3 linked regions of the Astyanax mexicanus genome follow. The protein of the gene in region 1 purifies or fractionates together with the protein of each later gene. This does not show direct contact. Links are inferred from orthologs where the notes say so. Each region holds a gene or a part of one and is shown in the gene's direction. Other genes may lie near its edges.

Region 1 (7,621 bases):
TCACCTGCATTCCATCTGCATCATTCACACATACAGATCATACAGACTCTAGGAGAGTGCAGAGCGTTCCACACATTATTTACTCTTGTGCAATCCACACGTTTTTTTTTTTTTTTTTTTTTTTTTATAAATCAATTCCCCCCAAAAATGCCCAATTGCCTGTTTATTTATACAATAATACTGTAATTTTGTAAGGAACAAAAATGCAATGCCACAAAATGGTTCATACAGAATCCTTCCATACATGGAAACCGTATATCGAACACAGATTAGTCTGAATTCATGCCTTTTATTATTTCATATAAAACGAACCTTCAGTTATAAGGAGAGCTTAAGCTTTTTTTAAGGCAGACACCCAATCAGAAAGACCCCCTAACATTTTATTTTTTTTAACTAAATTTAGCTATTCAATTAACAAGTAATTTATAAGGAAATTTTAAATTGTAATCAAATAATACTAAATTAATTTTAATTTTGCAATTTTTGATAAAATAATTTTAGTTTCTGGATTTTCAGTAGATCCACAATTTTATATTATATGTGGCACAGGTCAAAAGTTACACCTTAAATTCAGTGGTTTTTCATTATTTTAACATTTAAAAAAAAACTATTAAGAAAAACATATGAAACAATTTAGTATACAAAAAAATGTTGAACCAGAACCAGAATATGAACTAACATACATTTTAGATTTTACAGTCGCAAAGACCTGTAAACATCATGATGAAACTGGCTCTCATCAGGACTGCCCTGATGGGTATTTTGATTTGTTACTCCTTATTCATAATCTGGGTGGATTCAAAAACTAAAACACTGAATGCGAAGGTACGTTTAATCCTTTGGCTGGTATCATATTTATATTATTATTTTTTTATTTTGTTTTACTATTATTAAAACTCTTATTAAAGTATCTCTACTTTGGACTCTTTGTTTCAGCAATCTTTATTTATGTATTTGTTTTTTTTTTTTACTCTCTTTATGGCTCTAAGCTTAAAATAAAGTACATGTCCACGAACCTCTGGAAGTTGTAAGATATCGTAGATTGTAAAGAGACGGCTGGTGCGTTGACTCGTAGGTTGACGAGTCTGAGTACCTACATAAAAAAAAAAAATCAATATTTCAGATTTTAATGGTCATTAAAAGTGATGGGTGTTGATTTGATGAAGTTATAATAAACCTGTTGATAATATACTGTATTAAGGTGTGTATAAGAGTGTCTCTCACATTTCCTGAGGCTCGTGGTGATAGGCGTCCTCATAGGCCGGTGGTTTTGAGTTAATTTGGGTCCTGCTGTGTTCATCTCTGGGATACCCAGCGCTCCTCTCCTCCCTGTATCTCTGATCATCTCTCCGGTACTCCCTCTCTCTGCTCCTGTCTCTCCCATCACGACTGGGACGATCCTGGGTCCTGGACTGGTGATGCCGGTCAGGCATTGCTGAATTTACCTGTTATACAGTAAATACAGGAGGTTAAACCTCATTAATTACAGAAATTTGTAGAAATACACTGTATGTTTGCACTATAATGTAAGATATTGGCACTGGTGTATGATTTTTGTATATATACACACACACACACACACACACATATGTATATATATGTATATATATATAATTAAGAGACCACTTAAGTTTCTGAATCAGTTGTTTTAATAAAATGAACATTGTTGTTTTATTCAATAAACTACGGACAAAATTTCTCCCAAATTCCAAATAAAAATATTGTCATTTAGAGCATTTATTTGCAGAAAATGAGAAATGTCTGAAATAACAAAAAAAGATGCAGAGCTTTCAGACCTCAAATAATGCAAAGAAAACAAGTTCATATTCATAAAGTTTTAAGAGTTCAGAAATTAATATTTGGTGGAATAACCCTGGTTGGTTTTTAATCACAGTTTTCATGCATCTTGGCATCATGTTCTCCTCCACCAGTCTTACACACTGCTTTCTCCTGGTGCAAAAATTCAAGGGAGCTATTTAACAAAGGTAACTTACTTTTTTATCATGTTTTACTACACCAAATGTCAATTTTACACCGGAGTTCTCCTTTAAGTGTAATGGAATTATTAGAACTTAAAGAACTCAAAAAGAAAATGTTCAATTTTAGTAATGATACCTTACAAAATTAACTAAGAATAGACTTATTTTAAACCCTACTCATTTTGTTGGGTTAGTTCATAAAGAAAATCCTGTATAGATGGTACGAAATGCAGAAAACTGTGATAAGTTTGTGTGAAGAAATGTACTCTGATTTTTATATTGATGAAAGGTGTTTACAGGGTTTCCTTAACGAAAAATAAAACGACAATTATGGATTATTAGCAAATGACAAACAGAAATTGAAATAGAAACTGCAATTAAACAACTAAAGCTAGAGGAGTATATATAAGCAGCCAATCTAAATAAATTACAGAAGGAACACAGAATAAGCAGGTGTGCCAAGACTTCTGTCCACTGTTTTTTTTCACTGTACTGTGATTTTCTGTGTGAACAGACAGGTAAAAGAAGGCTAACCCTGTGAGCTAAAGCTAACAGTCACATTTTCTAACTCTGTACAGGTGAGCAGGTCTGAATTAAAGATATTAAACCCCACTCTGCCACCAGATACAGCATTTAAACACGACTCAGCGACACCTACCTCAGGATCTGTCTGTAAAACAGGAGATTTATGGTGTTTAAATTAAACAAAACGCTTCCTGGTCACTCTTCAGCTTGTGTTTGTGTCTGTAAGCTCCTCCCCTTCACCTGTGACTCCAGGCCCCGCCCACAACTACGCTCTTTCACACAGGAACAATCAAATCACTGTGGACCCTTCTCTTGTAAAATGCATTCATACATTTCTCTATCAATTAATTTTTTTAAATAAAAAAATACGTTTCGCATTTACCTTTTTTCATATATTAAGAAATACATATTAAAATGGACTAATTAAATAAATATATATAAATACAAAAATATATATCAATAAGATACAAATAAGACAATAATAACTAAAATAAATAAAATTGCAGTTTTTATACCAATGCGCCATCTTACATTTATACTGTGTATTCTCATTTCTCTCCCATTCCCACTAACATAACCATATGGAAAAATTACATGTTAAACTATTATTTTTCCTTAAATTAAAAAAAAATAAAATAAATAAATTCATATGTAAAGAAATACATGTCCATATATTAATTGATTTTCTGTGTGGGATAGCCCCATCCTATATTTAAAAAATATAATAATTAAATAAATAATAAAAGAAATTAAAATATTTCGCATTTACCTATGTATTCTCACATCTTACACATTCTCACTAACACCCCTATATGTTATATATGTTACATGCATTTATAAATACATTTGGAAATGATTAAAAATGCATGAATTAAGATAATAGTAATTGAGATTAATACAATTACAGTTTTTAAACCAACACACCATATAGAAATAAAATAATTATATATTTTAAAGGCATTAATAAATACAACTTGCTGGATGTAAATGAATGAATTAATGATTGAATGAATGAATAATTGAATAATATATTGTCACTGTTTTTATTTAGTTTTATTTTAGTTTTCGTGGATTTCCTTAATTGTTAAATGTTGTGTACCTCCACAATAAAAAAATGAATAAGCAATGTACTGTAGTTTTTTTGTACTGATTAATTTATTAGTATTTTTAATGTTCTATAGTTTTAATGTATTTGCAAAAAAAAAACAAGACAGGGAGTACATATATACAGTACCAGTTAAAAGTTTGTGTGCACACACCTTAAATTCTGTGTTTTTTTTGTCATTTTAGAAATGTTCTGTATTGTAGATTAATACTAAAGTCACCCAAACTATAAAAAAACACATAAAATGATTTAGTAATGAAAGAAGTGTTAAGCAAACCAGAATAAGTTATAATAATATTATATTTTTTAATACTTCAAAGTAGCCCCTCTTGTACAGTTGACAGTTTGCAGAACTTGCCATTTTTTGAGTTGGTATACAGTGAATAGCTCTATTTGACTAATGCTTTAATCCATATTATGGCAATACCTACTAAGTAAACTAAGTAAAGAAAAAAAATACTTTAAGAAATGAAGGTCACTCATGGATCAATTCAAAACTCTGTGATGAAACTGGATCTCATCAGGACCACCCTAGGAAATGAATACCAGGAGTTCCCTCTGTTGCACAAAATAAGTCCAGACTAAGACTCAGATAAGATAAGATAACCAAAATGCTTCACAGTGTGACTTCATGATTCCTTATGTGTTCCTTATATTTTTTATTCACCTGTGGACATGGAAGTGATTGGAACACCTGTATGCAATTATTTAATTTAAATTTAATTGGCTTTGTTTTTCTCTTAATCATTTAAAACACATTAAAAATAGTAGAGTCGCCACTGTTGGTTTAACTCTTGAATTAAAAAATAAAAATATTTTAAAAAGTGCGCGTGCCCTCTTCCTACCCCGGACGTGAACGAGCGAGAGCGCGCGCGTGCGTGTGCATGCGCGTGTGAGCGCGACAGAGCGGAGAGAGCGAGCGCGAGACAAAGATGGCGGCGGCGGCGCGAGCAGCAGCGTGACTCGGTGTAGTGGAGCCACACGTCCCGAAACAACCCGCGGAGAGAGAGCGCGAGCCAGCGAGGAGATGGACGGCACGGCACAGTGAGCGAGCCCGCGAGCGAGCGCCCGTTACCGTCCCGCAGCCGCCAGAACCGAGGGATAACCCGCCCACCCACCTGCCCGCGCGCGCCGAGGAGGAGAGCAGAGTCACCGGGAGCATGGCCTCGCGCAGCAACCAGGTAACAGGGTAACGCCGCTCGCGCTAGCTAGAGCCTGTGTTTGCGCGCGAGCGCCTGCTTAACACGCAGCGCGTGGCGAGGCGAGGCCGGGGACTGAGTTGAATGTTTGAATGCATGTGAATGTGGTGCTTAATGTGGAGCACGTGCGCTCAGAAATGTACGTAGACTGGTAGCTAGTGTTAGATAGCCAGTGTAGCGTTATTAGCTCGCTCGCGCTGCTGCTACTGCTGCTGCTGCTACTATTGGAGAGCTCATTGAAACGCACGCGCACAGCGCAGCACTCCAGCGCGTGGTGCTGCTGCTGCAGGCCCGCAGCTCAGCTCAACACCCAGTGGCGCTGAATCCGGATCCAGGAGGGTGAAATCCAGACCGGGATTTCTCTCAGATTTAGCACCCCCCCCGCAAGCACCCCCCTTCACTTCCCAGCTGCAGCAAATATACAGTATTAAACTGTGCAAAAATAACACTTAAGCATCAGTATTAGGGGTGGGTGATATAGCCCTCAAATCATATATCGATATTTTATATAACGGTATTCTTGGCTATATGACTTTTTTATTATAAGAAACAACTACTGCAACTAAATAAATACTATTTTATAAATTGAACAGTTTCAAACAACCAGTACAAACCATATATAATATGAAACATATATAAACATTAGTCTACTTCGTAAACAGTAACTTATGAAGGCTATTATTGTATATAATAATATTCACTGGGGGATCTGAATTTTATGTTCAGTGTTTTGCCTGACTCTCTGTACTGCACATTTCTAAAAAGCTGCTTTGTGACATCAGTTGTAAAAAGTGCTGCACAAATAAGGTTGATTTGATTTGAAATAACATAAGCTTAACAGAATAGAAAATGTAACAATCAAGTAATGAAACAAGTAAAACCTTCTAAAAAAAAACGAAAACTGTAAACAAATAAAAAGTAAAAACAGTAAGTAGCAAAAACCGTACAGAATAGATGAGACATGAGCTATTTCTTAATTTTTAACAGCAAAACCCTGAAAATGTCAATGATAAATTTGCAGATTCATGTTATTCACATTGAAATCCAAATTGGTCAGTTGAAGATTGTGAAAAGTTGTGAAAAGTGTATATTAAAATGTTTCTAGTGTTTAGTGTTTAAAAATCATATTGCTGTTATTGAGACATTTTCTAACAATATAAACAATATTGATATTGAAGTTTTGACAATTCCCATGTCCATTCTTCTATCCTTTTGTAGCTATATTTGCCTTTTTTTGTAAGTTTTGCACGTTATTATTTGTAGTGTGTACTACTTGAGATTATAATACGTATATATATTTTGATTTTTGATTTAAGTATATAAATAAATGATTTGAATATTTTAAGTAGAAAGTTAAGTTGAAAACCAGGCAGTTGGAGCAAAATCCCGGGGGTGGATTTTCAGTGCCTGGACCTGGATTCGCCTTCTGTAGCAGCTATATATCTCTACCACGAGTTTTTAAGCAGCTTCCTCGCTTTAATACCGTTTTAAAGCAGTGGGGTTTTTATGTTTGGTTAATTTAGTTTAATTTAAAGCTGTTTTAATGTCTGAGTGACAGTTTTCTGAGCTGAACTGGTGGAAGTGTGGAGAGCCCGGCTGAGCTGCAGCAGGCCCGGACGCTAGCCACGGCGGCTAACAGAGCTAACGCTAGATCAGCTAAGCCAATCTAAGCTAAGCTAAGCTAAATGGCTAATGTGACTAGGCAGACAAGAAGGCTCTGAAACAACGTGTTTAGCTTTTATTTAAATGAACAGCGATTAAACACTGAGTAAGTAGACTCTATATATTTAAACACCGCAGTATTGCGCTGTTTTTGGCAGTTTTTTTAGCTGTAAATGGTGTTTTAAAGATATCAGGTGGTGTTAGCTAGGCTAATGACTGACAGTGTGGTGGGCCTGTTGATTGGGGGCGGGCTCACCGTGTGCTGCTTTTAGTTAGCTAGCTAGCGACTTCATTCAAAATGGTTTGTTGGAAAACACGCAGTTAAACGACGTGCAGAAGCCCCGACACGCGCTATGTGTCGACATATCTGCTCCTAATAATGACTGTCGTGTGAAATAACGTGGTTTATTTAGCCCATATGTCTCAGGTGGCCTCGTTCTGTGTGCTAGCGGTTAGTTAGCTAGCGAGGGAACTTCGCTCTGACTGCCGATTCACGCGTGCTTTGACGTTAGCCACTTAGCTAAATACCTACATAGGGCAAGCTGACTGTGGTAATATGTTTCCCGTTAAAATGAGGTAAAAGTAGCTCGATTTCACAGTAAAAACTCAAGTTAAAGATCTCTTTAATGTTAGTATTACTAGTAAAAACCATGGCAAACTACAAGTTAAAACAGTAGCTCACTTTTAACATTAAAACTCGAATTACAGCTCTGTAATGCAGTTTTTGCTTGCTTACCTATGTCAGCTATTAATTTTTTCAAGTAAAATCATAATTACATACCAACAAAGCTTTTAATATCACAACAGAAGCCATAATTAGTTTTTTTTTATTAAGTTTGTACTACTAAGAAGTGTCTTTAATGTTCCTGTAATGTAAACCTTACTTGTAGAAACTATTGCAAGCTGTTTTCCCTTAAAATGAGGTAAAAGTAGCTCAATTTCACAGTAAAAACTCAAGTTAAAGATCTCTTTAATGTTAGTATTACTAGTAAAAACCATGGCAAACTACAAGTAGAAACAGTAGCTCACTTTTAACATTATAAACTCGAATTGCAGCTCTCTGTAATGCAGTTTTGATATCTGACTATGAAATTTTAATATCACAACAAACGTTTGTACTAGTTTTTGCCAAAAATGTGGCACAATTACCT
Region 2 (6,950 bases), on another chromosome or scaffold:
ATCTTGGACTTTACTGACCTCCGATATTCAACCGCTAGTCGCAGTTCATTTTTTATCTTTTTGTCTGTTTATGCCAAATTAAATTATAAGGGTATCATTAAAATGTATCACCATTAAAATGTGATAACACTGACAAACACTGAAACATTTTTTAGAAGAACAGATATATCTTGTGCATTTTACACTGATGTAATGGGATCTCTTCAAAGATGGCAATAAGAGCAGGCATATTTTGGTATATTGAAACATTGTAAAGGCATGGTTTTAGATTTGTAATTCTATTTCTAATTCTAATTTTCTTTTCCTAAAATAGGAGGACTCAACACTGAAGGCAGCAGAAGATATACTGAAACAGTGGAGAATCAAACAGTGAGTGCTGGCCACTTTTGAAGACATTAGATGATTATTTAAAGCCGTCCAATATGAGCTTCACACAGCAGACCTCAATAGTTGGACAATATAATTAGCCAAGGACGCCTGGTTCAGTATAGTTCTATAGAAAAGTGTTTATTTAGAAAATGTTATATTTTAATATTTGACAAAATTGTTTAATAAAAGCTGGATTTTAGTATTTTTTTATTCATCTTGTTTGAATGAATACAAACTTAAATAGAACCCGTAACAGAAATTTGGGAAGTGAAACTTTTGAATCATCTGAGGTAGAAATACGTATCATAATGATTCATGTGATTTGCTATATTTCAAAATGTTTGTAAAAAAAAAGTTATGCTGAACAGAATGTAGTCAGCAGTATTTGCTGAGATGCAGCTTATCTAAAACTGTTCTAGTGAGTAAGTGAATCATGCATTCATACAGGGAGGAGTTAATTTTACATGTGGTGATTTTACATGTTTGGCCAACAGAGGGAGCTAGTTGCTTCCATCAAAAAGAAACATTACAGTTAATTAACATTTTAATAGAGTTGTATTGTGTACTAAACAACAACACAGTCTTATGTACATTTGTCAGTTTTGATCAAGGTATCTTTTGTTTTGTTTTTCACAAAAATATATGTTTTTGCTTAATTCTCAGGATTTGGTTGTAGTCAGCTGTTTAATATTAGTTAAACTACCTCAGCTCACAGCAGCCCATCCAGCAACTTTCCACACTAAACAACAGTAGTCTGATTGCTTATGCTGTATGCATTGGGTTGTATTCATTAAAACTACTTCAGGTTGACTGTAGTGTTGCACAAGTGTGAATGAAAAATGCACTCCTTTAGAGAAATCAACTTCTTATTGCTCATACAGATTATTTGTGAGTCTATACAATAGACACACTGTTTTTATTGATTATGATGTACAAATAGATGTCTGTTTGTCTGTTGAGTTTACTTTCCATCCTGTTTGTTTTAATGCCATTTTGGTGTGTGCAAGTTGTACTGGAATTAGGTGGATCAGTGTAAAATAAAACATGTTTTGAAGTTGAATTTGTGTCTTCTCATTATATGTAGAATTCTATATTGAGTTTGAACAAAGTGCATTAATGTGGGATATCTCAAGTCTAACCTGAACTTGTGGAATTTAAAAACAAGCAGAATTTGTGGAATTTTACATAATTTCAGAAATGTAGTATTTTTAAATGAAGTTTAAATAAACATTCATATTTATCCAGATGACCCTACATTAGCTGACTGTTTGCAGCAGCTGTGATTGTCTGGGCAGTGTTAGGGGAGCTGAAAAAGAGCATTGTGATTGGCTCAGTTTATCAATATTCAATGTCCTATTACATCCTTCTTCTGGAGTAGGAGAGGAGGAGTAACAATAGTTTCTGAACGAAAGGAACTGCCTTCCTCAAATGCAATCAGCACATTAGTACTGCACATATTATCTATGCTAATGTTCACTGCAAAACCAGTATAGTTCCACACTTCAGAAATTAAAACCCAAAAGCAAAAACAAAGGACGTGAAATTGATTTATCTTAAACTAACCTACCCATTAATATATTTCTGGATTAGCTAGAAAACACCTATAATGACATACAGAATAAACAGTGAATACTGCCATGATGTTGCATCATCTTATGCTGCTTCAGATTCTTAAACTCCTTAAGTGGTTTCATTTGTTATTGGTCAATAGTGAACTAATCTATTTCTATGTTTGCTTACATATTGATGCACAATTCAAGTCATTAAGATCCTGTGCTTTAAAAGTGTGTATTATGTGCTAATAAAACATGTCGGCTAACTGTAATTATCTGTGTTGAGGTTTAATCTTAACATGTTTCCATATGAGATAATAATTTAGCACAAATCTAAAAATATGCTTTGGACACATTTTAAGAACCATTAAAATCTGAGTTTCAAAAATTAGAAAAACATTGTTTCTTGTGTGTGTAAATACACAAGAAACAATGGTATATAGTAAATTAATGTAAAATCCACTTTTTCTTGTTGTTTGTGAAATATAATAGGTCTCTCTGAGTTGTATATGCAGGCTGCATATGAACTGTTCTTTAACCTCCATTTTTGCAGTAGCTAAGAAAAGAAAATACTCAGAAAAATTGTTGTTTAAGAAAAGCATCTGTTTCCACATCAACTTGTGAAATAGTATTCATAGCCTCACCAGCTAGTTCGCGTTTAAATTGTAGGTTTAAATTGGCTCTCCGGTGGATTCCTCGTTTTACAGAGACCTTAAATAAACACTAGGGAAGCACGGTTTGACAAGGTAGCACAACTCGACAGAACACAGGTCAAATCACCCGATTTTATGATATAGAGCAGACTCTATGGGGCTTCAACGTGGTGAAATTGCCTAAGCACCGAATCACCAAGTCTGAGGTAAGAGTTTACTAGTGTTGGTTTAGCTGAAAGAAATGTCACCAATGCCGCGGGGGGCTCTGAGAGTCTGACATTAAGGAAAGTGTAAGGGTTAACTCTACCTAGCACTCATTTTGTCCTTCGAGTTTTAGAGCTCTAAAATTGACTGTTGGGGGAAGGCAGGAAGAGTTCTCTGCTGCAGTGCTGTTAGCCCATCAAAGGCTATATGTTTGCATGTATGAATATTCATGGACAAGAGTTGTGAGGACAGCTAAAAGAATCATCAGTCTCTCTCCCCTCCATCACCGACATCTACACTGCGCTGCATCCGCAAAGCCACCAGCATTGTGGACGATCCACCCATCCCTCACACGGACTCTTTGCTCTGATGTCGTCTGGCAGAAGATACATGAGCATCCAAGCCTCCACTACCAGACTCTGCAACAGCTTTATCCACCAGGCAGTCAGACTCCTCAACTCACAGAGATCACAGAGATCAACCTCCTCCCCACACACCCAACACATTCACACAGAACTGATCTGACACCCCCCTCCCCCCACACCACTGCTTTTCACATACACATAAAGATTGTACTGAACCGACCCATCATTCTACACAAACACACACACACACACTCTATGTTGTCTATTGTATTGTTGTTTGATCTTGCACCATTGTCCCGGAGGAACGTAATTTCATAACAAAAGCCTCTTAACTTAACTTGAAGAGCAGAAATCATGTCCTTCTTTAGAGACCACTAATACTTTTTTTTTTTTTTTACAAAAAAAGGGCTCACATGGCATTCATTCATACTAGAGACCACAACTAGACAGTTTTAAATTGTCCATGGTTTGGGACAAGGCTTATGAATCAGAGTCTCTTAACATGACTTGAAGAGCAGAAATCCTGTCCTTCTTCAGAGACCACTAATCCAGTGAAATAAAGCAGGGTTATACAGAAACACTGAAGCACTTCAGCATTCATTCATACTCGACATTTGAATGAAAAACGATGGAATAAGACCTGGAATTAGAAAAGTTTTTGGACGCAGCCATAGTTTTTGGCACACGCTTATGACTCAGAGTCGACTCCGAGTCGAATCTTGAATCGAGCAGTCTTGAATCCCGTGGCTGCAGTGCGCCCCCTACAGTCTGAGTAGTTCACTGTGGGCGGAGCTCTGTACTCAGACCGGCTCCGCTGTAGCTCGGCAGTAGTTGGGTAGTTCAGTAGTATCGCTGCTGCTTTCCGCTGTGATCGTGTCCGTCCCTCCGCCGCGCAGATCCGCACCGCCGCTGCCCAGCCCCGCCGCCTCGGCTCGGTCGGGCTAACGTGGGGAAGATGGCGACTGACAAGCCCAAGCATGAAGGCAGGGTGAAAATCGGTCATTACATTCTCGGAGACACGCTGGGAGTGGGAACATTCGGGAAAGTTAAAGGTAAATCTTGTGTATTTTTAGCTGAAATCCGCGTCCGGAGGATGATGATTATCACTCAGTGAGTGAGTGAGTGAGTGGGGGCTTCAGGTAGCTAAGGAAACTAACCCACCCGTTAGCCGCGTTAGTTAACCGCTAGCATAGCAACACTAGCTAAGCTAGGCTAGCTAACGTTAACTGACGTTTGCAGCTTTTCAGAAGCGAATTAAGTCTCCCTGGCCGTCAACACTACGCGCATTAAGTAGTTTGAAGCGAGGTTTAGCGCTGTTTATATGCTGTATGTTGATTATTCTGCTGTTTCGGGTCCGTACGCTGGTTGTTTATATTAGCTAACGATAACTAGCTGGCTAGCTGGCACTAGCTTTATCTGTTAGCGAGCCCGCTGGTTTTAACGGGAGCTAGGTTAGCTAGGCTAAGCAGACTTGGTTCCCGGTCAGTTTAACGTTTAGCAGATTAATTTTCTGACCGTATCAAACTAAATTCGAAATTAGAAAATTATACTAAGAAAATATAAATAAAATTCGAAAATTGGGTATAAACCGTAGTCATACATTTTTTTCACTCAGTATAGTAAAGAAGAAATCCAAATGATTAATTCTGTAGTTTCACTTCAGCCTTTGCCTTTCACGAAAAATTAAAAGGTAAGTCTGACCGTTTGAAGCTAAATGCAAAAATGGAAAAGTGGATGTAAAAACTCATTATTTATTTTTTATGTAGTTTATTGTACAAGAAATAAGTTTTCATCCATTTTTCCAAATAATTTCTTTATGTCTGCCCCCCCACAAAATCGAGAGAAGGTTTACCTTTTCATTTTTCTTGCAATTCTGATTGCGAAAGGCTAAAATGAAAAACTAGATAATTAACAGTTTGGAGGAAAACCAATTTTTTCTTCACTCTGTTGAATGAAAAAAAAATGTTTGATTAAGTTTTATACCCAATTCTCTATTGTCAGAAAATTCAACTGCTAAACGTTGCTTTATGATCAGTGTAACTATATTATTGAAATAATTTGAGTCATCTACACTAAGTAGCTTAACTATTGCAACCAGAAGGAAAATTATATCATTAAAAATATAAGGGTGTTAAAAGCCTTATACATTGAGTACATAAGCGTGTCCAGAGGTGTATTTGTACAGCAACTGCAGTGAATGAGTCGGGGTCTTGTTTATTCAACACAGGCTGACATCATTATGTACTTTTTGTTCTCTAAGCATTAATATATATTAGGAATCCCCAAAGGATCACATTTCTAGCATCTTTTCTATCAGCTTTGATATAAGGTGCAACATGCCTTCTACGTGTTCTAACTTTAAAAGAAGTCCTGCTCCTTATTTCAGTGCTAAACAACTTACTAAGTGAAGCATAGGTTCAGGTTTAGATAGTAGGATTTAATATCTGCATGTTAGAATTATGTATTGCATATTGTGAAAATGTTTTTAAGTATTATGATTGAATATTTTTACCTTACTTGTGGTCACTAATTATGATTTTAAATGTTTGTGGTTGAGAGTAATTCATTTAATGAGGGTAGAATGATTTTAGTATTGGAAGTTTGATGGATTTTTTTTTCTGAGGGTCTCTCAATTGCTCTCTTTTGTGTAAACTGTAGTTAGTGATTAAATCCAGGCATCTGAACTCATCCAATCAGTGTGAAATGCAAGGGTGGTGGATTATGCCACACACTCACCATTAAATGACTAGACTTACTGTCTCCAACTTTTAAACTTAGCAGTAATACATGTTTATCTTTTTCTTTTCTCTAAGCGTTGCTCTTGTACCTACTTCAGCCTGTATAAACCACTAGTTTAGTTGCAAGTCTTCTATTGTTCTGTGTATGCGCTGGTGTTGTATGTTTTAATTTGTATCCAAGACTACCTTTTTGTTTATCTGCTGATGACAGCTGCTGCCTAGACTAGGTGCATTAAGTAAGTGCATTAGTAATTATTATTTACTTATTTTAAAAACAAAATAATGGTAAATAATATTAAGTAAGTACTGTGCACCCCTTTCAAATTCATTAAATTTTTCTGTTTTAATTTTTTAAATCCAGAATGTTAATATTAGTATTGAAGACTGTCAAAACTATGAAGAAACATGAATAGAAATATGTACTAAACAAAGAAAGTGTTAAACATTCAATGATATGTTTTAAATATTTCTTCAGAGATGCACCATATTCTTTGATGACAGTTATGCCAACTCTGGGTTTTCTCTCTGTTCACCTCATGAGGTTGAACCTCAATTATTTGTCCAACAGTTTTGAAGAAGTTTTCAGAGGTCCTGAGCACTTACTTGTTGGCTGCTCTTCTTTCACGTCTTTCTGTTCAACTAATTCCAAACCATCTTTGAGTTAAAAATGGGAAATTGTTGAGGCCAAATGCTTTTTCATTTACTGCTTAATTTCATGTGTTCATAACAAAGAAACATTACATGAGATTACGAGTAATGTATGAAGGCTGTAACTTAGCTAGGCTATGGTAATTTACTTTTTCATAAATATAGGAGCTTCTTCATGAAGAATCCTCTACAACTAACGAATTACACAATATTATCACTGTTCTATTGGCAATCTGTTTAATTTTGCAGACAAAGACACTTTTTACCCCTATTGTAGTTATTCTTTAGATTAAATAGTTAATAGAGAATTAAATAGATGTTAAATAACAGAGTTATATGAACCATTAGTTAATGAAAACTCAGAGTTTGTGCTATGTAGGCTTGTGTTTTTAACCCAGATGGTTGCTCACAGCATGCTTT
Region 3 (7,352 bases), on another chromosome or scaffold:
ATATCGCAATATGTGTAATATATAACAAATTATAACACAGTAGGTTTCGACTCTGCAATGTGATTGGCTGAGAGGCGTACTATGAGTGCCGTTATCAGCCGGTACTGCACTGTAACCAAAGCTCTCCATGTATTACTCCGCCACATACAGGTAACCTAGCAACGATGCAGCGCTTACAAGCCAAACAGCGCAGCTACAAGCAGAGCAGCAATGGAACTATTTTAACTCGTGTAGTGTTTATAAACAAGCAGATCATATTTTCTCTTCCCCTTTAACTGAAAATCTTTTAATAAACAGCGATAATGGAACTGTAGTATAATTGCAATAATACACTCGAGGTTCGTGCTATAACGTGTAATATTGGCACTGCTGTTCTGACCTACGGCACTTGGCCTGTGGCCAATATTACACAATATAGTACTCCCTCTCCTGTACTATTGTTTAAATATAGCAGGTCAATATTTACCAGCATTTTGCAGCCCTAATATCAGCCCTGATATGTATCTTGTATCATAATCAATCTTGTTGTTGGTTTCATACAAAATATACAGTACCTATTCTGAGGATATCATGGATGTTCTAGCATTTCTCAGCACATTTGGAAAAATATACGTTGGGGTGTCATTAACAGAGCTTTCCACTGATAAATATCAGTTTTGATGGTTTTTATGTGCATTTCTTTGTGTATATATAATATTTCTGCCATGACGCAGAGGAAACATGTTGCAATTGGTGTCCATAGCTGACTGTATGTTACAGATGCTGCAGACAGAGTTTAGGCTGGAAAACACTGGAGTACTCCTTTAAAATGAGTGATTATGTAACAAGCATGTGCCTTCAGAGCATGTAATGGAATGGATGTGTTTCCTCCATATAGATAGAGCTCATTGCTACTTCTGTGCTGAGTATAAAAAGCAAAATACAAGACAAATAAATACAACAGGTTACAAGTGCTGTATGGACTGATGTATTGTTCATTTCATAATCCTGTGTCATTCTTGTACACACACACACATAGACACACACAGAGACACATCTCAAATAACAGCGTCATGCTGATACACCCTCGTTTTTTTGTTACTACAGACCAAAAATATTTAAAATAAAAATTATGCTTGAAAAATATGTTTTTATGTCAGAATATAAAACAAAAACCTACAAAAATGCTCGAATTGAACATCGTTTATTCGCTATTTCTTAAAAAAAGAAGAACACAGCAAAAATGCATGAGCGCCCATGCCCATGCACGCGCGCGCGCACGCACGCTCGATGCAACAGTCCTCCATCCTATATAGAAATATGAAGAAGACTGGGGGGTTGGGGGGTTTGGGAGGGAGGGTGATGTGTGGAGGGTGGAGGGGGGCTCCTAAATCATATGCATTATGTGCGCGCGGGGCTGCCCTACTTCCGCGAGCGAGCGAGCGAGCGAGCGCGCGCGCGCGCGCGCACAAACGCACACGCGCGCTCCCACACGCGAACGCACACCGTGCAAAATGTGCGTGAGGAGTGGGAGTGACCGCGAGCGTGCACGAGCGCAGCCACCACTATCAGTCAGTGTGTTAGTTACAGATCGTGACTCGTGACTCTCTGCCTGCTTTAAAAACAAACGTAACAAACACAAACAAAGAACAAAAAAATGGATTCTTAATATGAATTGTCTTTTGATCGACAGTGCATCGAATATTTATTTGGTCAAAAATGGCAAAAAAAAAAAACACAATCGTGACATGATCAAATCGGGAATATAAATATTAAATATAAAATAAATAAGTCATGTTGTGCTCTGTTTGTGTGTTAATGATGACAAAAAATGTAAAAGTTTTTTTCTTTTTTTAATTGTAGTTTTGTAACTGCACATTTATGCTATTTATTTTGTGCAAAAATGAATCAAAACCTGTAAAAAAAAACATGTTCAGTATTTGATATTTGATAAACTAGTCAATTTCAGCCATGTTTTATTTTGTTTTAAAGCATCACTATTTTTTGCATATTAATAAAAAACAAAAAAGAAATTGAAGAGTAATGGTAAACTTTTGTGATTAAAAGATTTTTGGCCACAAAAGAAATAAGAAAATAAAAATGTAAAACAACAATAGAAACACAATGACTGTATAAAAGCTGTAAAAGTGAATTTATTAAAAAAAAAGGAAAAAGACATGTACCTGATCAAGTGTCTGTTTTCGTGTCTAATCATGGCTAATAGGTTAATGACATAAAATGACATAAATGATTTCATTTCGTAACATTCCTACAGTAATATGTATTCATTACTGTATAAGTGTGGATCGGTGTGTAAGTGTGTAAGCGTGCACGAGCGAGGAGAAATTTAGGGATCAACAAAGATCAAAAGAGAGAATGAGAGAGAGAGGGACGGAGCAACAGTCCGTTTGGCTAATCGTTTACGCACGAGCCTTGTGCATTTGGTATAATGATTGCAAATTTCTCAAATCACTTAAAAAACATTTAGAAAAAAACAAAGATTCACACAAAATACACAGATAAAAAACCACCACCACACCCCCTATAAGCATCCTTATCATTTACCTTTGTGCATGCCGGTGTAGCGGTCCTTCAGCACGGTGAGCTCGTGGATTTTGCCAAACTGCTCAAACAGGGGCTTGAGGTCCTTCTCCTCGAGGTTGCGCGGGATTTGTCCTATGAAGAGCTTTATGGCGTCCTGGTCTTTCATGGTGCCGCCGTCCGCGTGTATGGACACGGCCTCGGAGCCGCTCATGGGTTTGGCGAACGTGATCTGCGCGTACTGGGGCTGCTGCGCGAGGACGAGCGCTGGCGGCTGGCTCGGTGCTGCCCCCGGTCCGCTGAGGAGCGCGCTGGCGTGGGTAGGCTGGGGCTGGATTTGGGGCTGGTGGTGGTGGTGGGGTGGAGGAGGCTGATGCTGATGGTGGTGGAGGTGGTGGTGCTGAAGCTGCTGATGCTGATGATGCTGAAGCTGCTGCTGATGCTGATGCTGCCTTCTCGCTTCAGTCTGGGTGAATCTGGCCATTCTGAGCGCGAGCGGCGCGGTGAGGAGCAGGCAGGCGGGATGATAATAATAACAACATACACACGCAGGCGCGCGCGCGTGCGCTTACACGCACACACTCATGCACACGCGCACACACACACCCGGGCGGGCACCCTCGCGCGCACGCACACATACACATACACGTATAATACGCAGGCGCAAACGAGCGCGTGCGCGCGCGCAAGGCAAGGGGAAGAAAAGCAAAAAAGAAAGAGCACAGCTGGAATAAAAATAAATAAATAAATAAATACTTAAATAAATAACAGAACGTGGGGGCTCACTTTCTGTTCTAGACACATGTCACGCGCATGGCCCGTACCTGATGGAGGAGAGAGGAGTAGTGTGTGTGTGTGTGTGTGTGTATTGGGTTTGTAGTACATGAGATAAAAGAGATACCAGAAAAAAATAAAGATGCTCAAGTATAGAGCTCTCGCGCCCCCTGCAGGTCAACGCGTGCTCGCGCGCTCACACACACCCCAAAAACCGTAGATTAATGCTAAGTCATATGCTCCAATATAAAAACCACTTTCACTACTTTGCGTTATAATTCATTATACTGGAAATTGTAAAACTTCAGTAAATTAGCAATAAAAAATTACAAATAGGACCACACATCATAATTAAATGAATTTAGTCAAGTTTCTGTGTTTTTCAAACAAAGGTAAATAAATACACTGTGGGATTGTTGTATTTGTTGTGCACTAAATTGTACATAAACATAAACAAATATGTATATAAAAAATAAACAATACGCACAAAACTTTCCTCAGAACTGTTTTTTTAAGAAATGTAGTATTTTTTTGATTGTTAACTATTCTAAGCCTTTTTATGACATATTCTATTTAATGTAAGTACATTCCTTAGAATGCTTTAGTTTCCCAAAAGATACAAATAATGCTCTCATCACAGTAATTAATTAACACAGAGAAACATTAATAAATGTTATGAATAATCTTAAAATGTGTTTCTTTTACTTACATGCACTAAATATTCTGCAATATTATTTGCTGCATTATATTATTTTATGCTATATTATTTTTTTGCCACATTATGATTACACTGTTATACTCTTATACTATATGAATATGATATTACTATACCCTGAAATATCGTGATATTATTTTAGAGCCATATCGCCCACCCCTACTATCTATCTATCTATCTATCTATCTATCTATCTATCTATCTATCTATCTATCTATCTATCTATCTATCTATCTATCTATCTATCTTTTTGTTGTATGGAGTCGGTGTTCCGCACGTGTGACGTTGTTTCACACGAACTGCACAGTAGTGCACATGTTTTGTATGACGTAGTGTGGAGAAACAGCACGACTGGAGCCCAATAGAGTCCGGCTGCAGAGAAAAGTCCGCGGGATTTTAAATCTAAGGGCGATTTTTCTGCGATTCACCCGCTTTTTAAGCAGGCCAGCAGTCTCAGCGCTCAGCATGTCTGTTAACTACGCCGCGGGGTTATCTCCGTATGCGGATAAAGGAATCTGCGGGCTGCCTGAGGTAAATAACGCTAACGGTAGCTAAAGCCGCCGCCGCTGCTGCTGCTGCACTGTTTACTGCTTAGCTAAGCTAACTAGCCTACCTTGGTTAGCTAGTTTAGCTAAGCTTTGTTGTACCGGTGTGTGAAGGTTCTTGTCAGACACTTCGTTGAAAAATGACATTTACTAAATAATTATTATGTTTATTACTGTTTTTTATGTAACGTTACTAGCTACAGTAAAGCTTTGTTTTTAAATGAAGGCTAGCTTAGCCTACATAGCTAACTAGTGACTAACGTTAAATAAAGTCAGGTAGCTTTACCTGAGATAGTTGACGTTAAACTAAGAGCTGCATTCGTTGATGCTAGTAAGCTAAGCTAGGTTAGCTAACAAGTTAGCAAGAAGGTTTAGTAGAAAACACTAACGTTACAGCATGTAAGCTTGGCATAAGCATACCCTGCTTGTTAAGCAGTCTGTATAAAACAAGATAAGTTAATGTATTTTGCATTTAAAGAGCCCATATAACAGAAAACCCGACCATAATAAGAGTCTCTGTTCATTTGCCGGTAACGTTAGTTGCCAAAAGGTAGTTCTAATAAAATATGGCAGCTATACTGAACCCAAAAGAGCCCATGGTGGTGTAGTTGTGTGTCACAGACCCTTTAACATATGTGTATGTAAAATATACTAATTACAGCGCTTTATCCTTTATTTTAAATCATGAAGTTTCTGAGTGACATATGCTAAACATCCTGAGAATTACTTTTTATTATAGAACAGTGTGTGAATGTGTGTTTGTTCACCTCACCTTATTTCCAGAGTGTAGGTGTGCCATGGTGAAGTTATCCTGTGGTCAGGCTGTTCTGCAGTCAGTCGTATTTTCGAATGCTTTTATTTCCAGTTTTACGCTAATGTTTATGTTTGACACTTCCTGCTGTACTTTAGGACATCAATTTTTTTATATATATAAATGTAATAATAAAAACTGTTTTCCCTTTTTTTAATTATCAAATATTAATACAGTAGTAGATGAATACATGCAGAGCTTTGTGCAACAAGTGATATTCCCTGAAGACAAGGTATTTGTTCAGGACCATCCAAACATAGCCAGATATATATCCAGAAAGACAAACATTTCCTTAATGGCATCAGCTTACTTTTACTGTTAAGACAGTCGGACTGTGTTTTGGTCCTTTAGCTAAAATGTAAATTAGTTTGTGGGATTTAAAGCTGAAGAAGTGTTTCAGAAGTGTTCACAGCTGTAAACACTTGGATAAAATAATATCTGTAATATCCAGGTAACGTTAAATATTTAGATTTGGCAATTGTATAAAAAAAAAATCCTGAATAAATAAAACTTAAACAGAGTTGACATTCTGGCTCTTTCTATGAATCCATACTGTGAAGAATAGAAATTGTTTGTATTCCACAAATACAGTTAACATAATTAACTACGCTTTCTTTGTAATTAGATATGCAGTTGGCCAGTGATATTTTTTTTTTACAGTTGAAAACACCATTGAGCAGATTGTTCATTTGCTAATAGAAAAGACCAAATGCAGAAATAAGCAGTACGTCATAGAGCCACAGTATCTCCTGATGATCGGCCACATTTAAATACTTTCTCTCTTTTGCAGGAGTTTGATAGCGCAGAGGATTTGAAAGCTAAAGTGGAGACGTTGGCGCAGCTGATCAGAGATTCTCAGTACATGGTGGTGCACTCCGGAGCAGGAATCAGCACTTCTGCAGGGATTCCTGATTTCAGGTAACAGTCAGATTCACACTCCTTTTCCTCCACATGCAGTTAGATCAGAAGTTAGAAAGTTTCAAAGAACGTAACTTGCTGCTTTGATTTTTTTGTTAGTATGTTATCCTTTGGTAAATAAAGGTTCCCAATATAGGGTCCAGTTTAAATATGTTTTTACAGTACAGGATGTTATTTTTGATATTTTGACATTTAAAAAAAAATACTCAATACACCTCCAGGCAGTAGTGGTTTGCTAAAGTATTCATACCCCTTGAACATTTTTACCTTTTGTCACCTTAAAACCATGAACTATATTATAGTGAGATTTTAAGTGATAGACCTACACAAAGCAGTGAAACGAAAATGATGCATGGTTTTCGAAATTTTAATCAAAAAGAAATTTGACATGGTCTAAATGCAATGTGCTGTGTATTAGGGGTTGGCGATATGGCTCTAAAATAATATCACGATATATCAGGGTATTTTTGCGATAACGATATACTTGGCGATATAGGAAAACATAAATAATTCATTCATTTCAGGAATATAGTATAATAGTATAACAGTATAATCATAATGTGGCAAAATATATAATATAGCATAAAATAATATAATGCAGCAAAAAATATTGCAGAATATTTAGTGCATGCATATAAACTGCAAACTAAAACAATTATACAATAAATACACCTAAAGCTTCACAGTAAATAATAGACTACTTTTAAGACAGAACAGCCCTATTATCATGATATGGATTTTTAATATCATGATATTTCTGTGTCACGATATATTGTATACAATATAATATTGCCCACCCCTACTGTGTATGGAGAAAAAAATAACAGCTTCATTCTGTGGGGATACTTTTCTTCAGCAGTGACAGGGAAGCTGGTCAGAGTTAATGGGAAGATGAATGGAGTTAAGTACAGGGCAATCCGGTGAGAAAACCTGTTGGAGGCTGCAAAAGACTTGAGACCGGGAAGGAGATTCACCTTTAGACAAGACAATGACCCTTAACATACAACCATAGCTACACTGGGATGATTTAAATACAAATATTCATGTGTTAGAATGGCCCCGCCAATGT

Evidence for each region.
Region 2: the proteins of usp10 (region 1) and prkaa1 purify together in Homo sapiens (affinity purification with western blotting; 3 studies listed by BioGRID). This does not show direct contact. The link is inferred for Astyanax mexicanus from reciprocal best matches to the Homo sapiens genes USP10 and PRKAA1.
Region 3: the proteins of usp10 (region 1) and sirt6 purify together in Homo sapiens (affinity purification with western blotting; 4 studies listed by BioGRID, with this or other methods). This does not show direct contact. The link is inferred for Astyanax mexicanus from reciprocal best matches to the Homo sapiens genes USP10 and SIRT6.

The regions. Positions count from the first base shown.
Region 1 is NC_064423.1:38,366,808-38,374,428, reverse strand, and holds the start of usp10 (ubiquitin carboxyl-terminal hydrolase 10), read left to right. Parts: upstream 1-4,508; 5' UTR 4,509-4,769; coding exon 4,770-4,790; intron 4,791-7,621. Other genes in the region: marveld3 (MARVEL domain-containing protein 3), read right to left, coding at 1,017-1,093, 1,225-1,433. UniProt on the Homo sapiens protein: Hydrolase that can remove conjugated ubiquitin from target proteins such as p53/TP53, RPS2/us5, RPS3/us3, RPS10/eS10, BECN1, SNX3 and CFTR.
Region 2 is NC_064408.1:16,915,171-16,922,120, forward strand, and holds the start of prkaa1 (5'-AMP-activated protein kinase catalytic subunit alpha-1), read left to right. Parts: upstream 1-3,950; 5' UTR 3,951-4,099; coding exon 4,100-4,196; intron 4,197-6,950. Other genes in the region: kyat1 (kynurenine--oxoglutarate transaminase 1), read left to right, coding at 314-373. UniProt on the Homo sapiens protein: Catalytic subunit of AMP-activated protein kinase (AMPK), an energy sensor protein kinase that plays a key role in regulating cellular energy metabolism.
Region 3 is NC_064411.1:46,344,155-46,351,506, forward strand, and holds the start of sirt6 (NAD-dependent protein deacetylase sirtuin-6), read left to right. Parts: upstream 1-4,343; 5' UTR 4,344-4,474; coding exon 4,475-4,540; intron 4,541-6,155; coding exon 6,156-6,283; intron 6,284-7,352. Other genes in the region: zgc:165603 (CUGBP Elav-like family member 5), read right to left, coding at 2,545-3,004. UniProt on the Homo sapiens protein: NAD-dependent protein deacetylase, deacylase and mono-ADP-ribosyltransferase that plays an essential role in DNA damage repair, telomere maintenance, metabolic homeostasis, inflammation, tumorigenesis and aging.